Cricetulus griseus: one gene and its partner. The protein of the gene in region 2 purifies or fractionates together with the protein of the main gene of each other region. This does not show direct contact. Links are inferred from orthologs where the notes say so. Each region holds a gene or a part of one and is shown on either strand. Other genes may lie near its edges. The genes, in order: Ndn and Ngfr.

Region 1 (3,107 bases), on a different chromosome or scaffold from region 2:
CAATAAATGTGGAAAGCTGAAATCTATAGATATTAAAACAATTGTAAATCAACTAGCTAAACATCCAGTTATGGATGAATGCATAAAATGTTATATATACATATATACGCATATATGAGTATAATTGTACATACAAGTATATTCATGTATGTGTTAACACATATATATGTATATATACATAATATGTATATATACTGTTCTCATAACTAATTTGATGTCTCATGTACAATATAATATTGTTTATTACTTGTGACAGCATGTATGAACTTGATGGAATTGTGTGAAGTGAAAAGGGCTATATATAGACAAAGCTTCCTGATCTCCAACATTTGTGGAAATGAGGGAGACATGACATCAAATAAGTAGAGAGTAGAAAATTGATTACCAAAGGCTGTGAAAGGAACATGGAGGATAAAGATTGCCTTCTGAAACAAGAACATAGTTAGGAACAATATTCTGTAGTGTACTATAACAAAGTGCAGTGGGTGTACTCAGCTATACATGTTTAAGGAGATAGAAAAAGGAATTTTAAATATCCCTAAAGGTTAAAGTGATATATGTGTTAATTATGCAAGTTTGCTTACTGCATATTGTGCTTGTGTATAAAGACAAACTCTTATTTGTGTCAATTATATGTGTATATTGTGTAAGTGTATGCAAATTTATGAGAAGGGTGTTGTGTATCCTGCTCTATTGTTCTCTACCCTATTCCTTTGAGACAGGATCTCTCACTGAACCTAAACTTGGGCTGGTTTCTGGCAAATGCCTGTAATTCTCCTAATTGTACCTCTCAGAGCAGGGTTTACAAACACAGACTATGCCATTACATTTTTTGTGAGTCTTAGGGATTTGAACTAGGGTTCTCACACTTGCACTACAAATGCTCTTACCCATGGACTGAGCCAATTCCCATCCCAATAAAAAAATGTTTAAACACACACCAATTATGCTATATAATTTTATTACTTCCAAAACATTCAAATTCCACTTGGGCTGATTTCCAGTGTCTGTAATGACACTTTATATTCTTCCGTATTGGATCTGGACTCAGGTTTGGTAAAGATTTGCTCTATTAATTTTTCAACATTCCAATCTTAAACATCACATTATCTTCACAATGCTCGCACTTCCAAAAAAAAAAAAAAAAATCAAAAACTCATTACTGTCTCACTCTTTTGTAGAAAGTCCAAGCTCTCTAGCCAGTCTACCCCCTTTCACACAAAAACTCAAAGGTGCTCTAACTTGACTTCACCATCTCAGCTGCATCTTTCTACTTAAACTTGCTCCTTCCCCATCACCATCTCTTTCTAGCTCACCCAGGAGACCTGGAGATCTTTCCCATTAGTTTAGTGGTACCCTCCCTCAGACCCCAGTGGTTGGGCTTTGCATCTCAGCTCCTATCCAGCCCTACCACCCTTCTGGCTTGCCAACACGCATGCGCAGTGTCAAGTCCGCCCCGCCCGGCCGCTGCTGCGGAAGGCACAGCTCTCAGTAAAGCGCACTTCCTCTGCTGGTGTCCACTGAGGGAGTGCTGGTTCCAAGAGCTCCAAGTCGCAGCGGTCCTGCTCTGATCAGAAGGCGCAGACATGTCGGAACAAAGTAAGGACTTGAGCGACCCTAACTTTGCACCTGATGCCGCCAACTCCGAGGTGCAGGAGAGCTCTGAGATTCCGGTGGGGGTCCCTCCTCCCACATCTCCAGCCGCGATCGTCGCAGAGGCACCAGAAGCTCCTGAAGGCCCTATGGCAGCCCGGCAGGCCTCGCCGCCGCCTCCAGAAAGGTTAGAAGATATTGACCCTAAGATTCTGGAGCAGGCCATAGAGGAGGGCCGCGCCCACAATCCCGATAGCCCGGTCCGTCAGCTGCCAACACCACCCGCCCCGGCCCAGGTGGTGCAGAAGGCGCACGAGCTCATGTGGTACGTGTTGGTCAAGGACCAGAAGAGGATGGTCCTCTGGTTCCCAGACATGGTGAAAGATGTCATGGGCAGCTACAAGAAATGGTGCAGAAGCATCCTCCGGCGCACCAGCCTCATCCTTGCCAGAGTTTTTGGGCTGCACCTGAGGCTGACCAATATCCACACGATGGAGTTCGCCCTGGTCAAAGCCCTCAGCCCAGCAGAACTGGACAGAGTGGCGCTGAACAACCGTATGCCCATGACAGGCCTCCTGCTCATGATCCTGAGCCTCATCTACGTGAAGGGCCGCGGGGCCAGAGAGGGAGCCGTCTGGAATGTGCTGCACATCCTGGGACTGAGGCCCTGGAAGAAGCACTCCACCTTCGGAGACGTGAGGAAGATTATCACCGAGGAGTTCGTCCAGCAGAATTACCTGAAGTACCAGCTTGTTCCCCACAGCGATCCTCCTGAGTACGAGTTCTTCTGGGGGTCCAGAGCCAACCGTGAAATCACCAAGATGCAGATTATGGAGTTCCTGGCCAGGGTCTTTAAGAAAGATCCCCAGGCTTGGCCCTCCCGCTACCGAGAGGCTCTGGAGCAGGCCAGAGCTCTGCGGGAGGCTAATCTTGCTGCCCACTGCCCCCGCAGCAGTGTCTCTGGTGATTAGGAAGGTCCCCAGCATGTTGATAATTTCTGACCCATACTTGGGCTGTATAAGGGTGGGGTTGGGTCATTAGAGTATTCCACATTCACAGTGCAGTATTTCATGTGTAACCTTTAAGTTTTCCTTACAGTGCTTTTGTACCTTTCAATGCAATATATTCATTTGTGTTCGCTTGGAGCGTGTTAAGGATTTATGCATGTGCGTTTACAAGTAAGCAAGTGGATGCTTTCACTTCTGTGCTTTTTTGTACAAGAGATGTGCTGTGCTGAACCTGTGAAATCCATTGAGATGTTGTGTATCTATTCTTTGTATGAAAGTGATGATCTGTATCAACATAAAAGCCCAGGAGAGTTAGGAGGTGAGCAAAGCAGGCCTGACCAGAGAAAGGTCAAGGGCCCTCTTATATGAACTCAACTGGCACAGGAAGCATCCCTGTGGAATGGACTGATTTGAACTGGAATGTTCTCAGTGTAGGCACTTAGCACACCCTACCAAACATGTATACAACCCCACCATAAATAAACTTTGAAGTGAGCATTAAAGATC
Region 2 (3,824 bases):
GCATCAGCTTCTTCTCCTTGCCTGGCCACACTCTTCTATCAGCCTCTGTGCTTGGGGACTGGGGAGAAGGACCCCCCTGGAGATCCCCCACCAGGTCCCTCTCCTCTGCCTGCACACTCCCCCATTTATCTCTGCCCCTTTATTCATATCCTGCTCACTTCTGGTGACCATACAGAGGTTGGCAGGGGACCTGCCAGGAGACAGAACACCTGCAAGGTCTGTTCTGCTCATGCCACACCTTCCCCCATTTGCCATCCTATACTCACTGTCCAGGCAGGGTTCACACACGGTTTGGTTGGCTCCACAAGGCTGGGCCACACCTTCACCCAAGTTGCAGGCCTTGCAGCATTCTCCGCTATGGGTGTACAAGCCTGTGGAACATGTCTCCTTGGTATCTTGGCACCTTGACACCTAGGTGGAAGAAGATCAGAGGGTCAGCCTGGCAGGAGAGGGGGGGTATCTTCCAGGGGATCAAACGCCTCCCTCTTAATACCTTCTATTGGAACCACCTGGGCTGGGATGAGCTCACCCGGGAGGCATTAGGAGGATCAAAGCTAGCAGGAAGGAAGGCTGGGGGAGATGGGGGACGGGGACAGTGTGCCCTTGACTGCTCCTGGGGTGTGAGGTCACAGTCTCAGTGGCTAACCTTCAGCAAAGTTCATCTTGGGGTTACAGCCCCTCATGGAGCCCTGAGGATACACCACATGAGGAGGGCAGCCTGAGACCAACATCCAGAATAGGCGGACAGGTTGCAGCTTGCATAAGGCTCCTGGCCAAGGGGGCCAGTGGAGCTGAAATCTGGTCCAAACTCCATTTGCTAAGCCTTACACCTGCAGGGCTTTAATTCCCCAGACGCAGGGCCTTTCCTAACAAAGGGTAACAGGGCCTTTCTCCAGGTCTCACTCTACATATTAAATATCAAAAAGGAGTTGTCTATGTCCAAGAGCAAGCAGAAGGCAAGAGACCTGGGTCTTGGGTTCAAATCTTGACTTCAGACAGGTTTCTGGCCTGTCCTGCTTTTCCTTTTGGACTTTTCAACTCTCTGCAGATAAAGACAGTGAATGACAGCTTGGTGCCAGGGCAAAGGACAGGCTGATGGGCAAGTCTGGCGCCAAGACAGGCAGAAAGGGATCCCTGTTATCAGTAGCTGCTCTCACCATCCAGCAACTCTGTTCCACCAGAGTTGTCTTCCAGTCACTAGCCTGACTTCCTCCCCTCCCCTCCCCTCTCCTCCCATGTTACCCCTGGGAACAGAGCTGGAATAGGGGGAAAGGGGAATCAAATTCCTACCACTACAGCATCTTTGCTCATGGATGGAACGACTTAGCACCAGATTCCCCAGAGGGAGGGGCTGCAAGAGGCTCGCTTTGTTTCTGTTTCTTAAAGAACAATCTTAATGTCTAATAAAACTCCAAAGCCTTCTCTGCAGGCTCCAGACCTTGCACACACACCCCATTTGATGCTGAGCAATTTGGGCTCTTGTCGTGAGATGAGGGAGCTTTACAAGATTTCTTGGGCATTCTTCTACAACTTCCATGCTGGACAGATCTTTGCCAAGATATTATATATATATATATATATATATATATATATATATATATATATATATTGTGGTCTTACCAGAGTTTGATGGGAAATGAACTATAGAAGTTGGGGGAGGAACACTGGGTGATGCCCTAGGAGCAACATGGTCTCTATGAGCCCTTCAGGGACAATGAAGGCAGCACAGAAGCTGCCACCATCTCCTCCCAGGTGCCAGCAGTAGGAGTGCTGGCTGGCAACATCTGCAGACCAGGAGCCCTGAGGCAGGCTTTTCTCAGGAGCTGAGATTCCAGAAGGGTCTGTTCTCATTTCCTTTCATCACTTAGGACTCTACTTAAATATCACTTCCTCAAGGAAGTGTTCCTGTCATCCCCACCCCTCCCAGACTAGATAGGCAGAGCTATGGACATGGGGTTGACTGTCTATCTCCTGCCCCTACCTGGCACAGAGTGGGGAACCAATGGACATAACTGTGTGATTTAAGAACAGAAAGTTACCATACACCTTCAGTTACCTAGAAGTCTGGAAGACTGACTTTGGATGACTATGTGTCCTCAGGAGAAAAAAAAAAAAGTGCTGCTGTCATTCAGTGTCTCTCTCTGTGTGACCTGGGGGCTGCACCCTCCTCTGCCTCTGCAGTTTCTCCATCACTGGGGCACTGGCTGTTAGCAGCAGCGATTACTCAGGGCTGCAATGCAGCAGTGCGCTCATGTTCCTGATCCCAGATGACCATATTTTTTGTCATTTTGTCAGCTTTTTGATAATTTTCCTGTCCCTTCTCTTCCTGTCAAGGTATCAGTTGTCACTTCTTGCTCCTATCAGCGTGACTGGAAGAGTCCTTCTCCCAGAATCATAATGTATCAGTTCTAATGGAGTTTTTAAAATGATGTCACTGGACTTGGTAAAAAGCTGTCTGGGAGCCAGGTGCACACATGCCTGTGATCCCTGCATAAGGAGCTAAGAAAGGAAGACCTCCAGTTTAAGGCCAGCCAGGACTACACAGAGAGAAATGGAGATGGTGTGTGTGTGTGTGTGTGTGTGTGTGTGTGTGTGTGTGTGTGTGTGGTACTAGGAGGAGGAGGAGGAGGATGAGGAGGAGGAGGAGTTAACATGAAAGAACAGTACCCTGGGTCAAACATTTGGGCATAATCACTGCCCATTCCGCTTCTTCCATTGATCTGAGTCCCTCATCATTTAGGGCCAGAATGATGGACAGGTTTGTAATTTCTCTGTGCCTCTGTTTCCTACCAGTAGATAATCATGACATCAGCTGCCTCAAACTGCTGTAGTAAATGTGGCGAGTATGGGTCAAAGTTCTTCAGAATTCCCCTTTTAGCCATAAGTGGTGGCACAGGCTTTTAATCCCAGTACTCAAAAGGTAGAGGCAGCCAGGGCTGTTACACAGAGAAACCCTGTCTCAAAAACCAAACCAAACAAGCAAAAACCTTTTTTTCCTTCTAGTATGTGTACCCTTTGTGGACCTGGGTTGTGTACCACTGCTCCACCAAACCAAAGTCAGCAGAGAGTTGGAGGGTGTATGTTGGGGGTGGGGCTGATGATGCTTGTGGGAGCCATAGTAGCTTTGGGCAAGCATCCCTGCCCTTCCCACTCCTTTCAGGACTTGTATTTAAAGTTGAAGCCACACAGTCAGCATCTGCACTTAGTTTATGTTGCCTCTGTCACAAAGTCCAAGATTTGCTGCAAAATAGCCTGTGATTTTGAGTATCTTATTCTTCCTAAATCTCAGTTTTCCTATCTAAAACACTGGGACGAGTATGACTCCTGCACTGGATTGTTATGAGAAGTGAGTGCAATAATGTATGCAGATCTGTGCGGTGTACAGTAGGAGTTCAATCAATGGTAGTTATTGAGGAAGTCGTGTGTCTTAGGGAGTATGAGATGCTGACCCGAGGGAAGACAAAGCAGAAAGGGAGCCATCCGCCAAGCAGGAAAGTGTGACTGGAGTTCAGGCTAATTGCTCCAAAATCCGATCCAAATTGACCAATTTATCAAAATGACAGACCCATTTGCCTGATAGTTATATCTATTACATTCATTCATTTCAAAGTTGATAGCATGGCGTCTCCATTTTTCAGAATGTTTACCATCTATTTTTGTCATTGCAGGGCTTGTGGTGTTCCGATGAATTGACTTTTTTTTTTAATTGGACAAAACAGAAAACACACCAACGTTTGCAACTATGTGGGTGTTTCCATGGGCTCCTTCCTGAGCATACACAACAGCTTCAGAGAAGGCTCCTCAGAGAATAGAAGCCTGGTCAC

What was found.
Region 1: the proteins of Ngfr (region 2) and Ndn purify together in Homo sapiens (affinity purification with western blotting; 3 studies listed by BioGRID). This does not show direct contact. The link is inferred for Cricetulus griseus from reciprocal best matches to the Homo sapiens genes NGFR and NDN.

The regions. Positions count from the first base shown.
Region 1 is NC_048596.1:135,134,346-135,137,452, reverse strand, and holds Ndn (necdin), read left to right. Parts: upstream 1-1,586; coding exon 1,587-2,564; downstream 2,565-3,107. UniProt on the Homo sapiens protein: Growth suppressor that facilitates the entry of the cell into cell cycle arrest.
Region 2 is NC_048600.1:108,747,910-108,751,733, forward strand, and holds part of Ngfr (tumor necrosis factor receptor superfamily member 16), read right to left. Parts: intron 396-3,824; coding exon 267-395; intron 1-266. UniProt on the Homo sapiens protein: Low affinity receptor which can bind to NGF, BDNF, NTF3, and NTF4. Forms a heterodimeric receptor with SORCS2 that binds the precursor forms of NGF, BDNF and NTF3 with high affinity, and has much lower affinity for mature NGF and BDNF.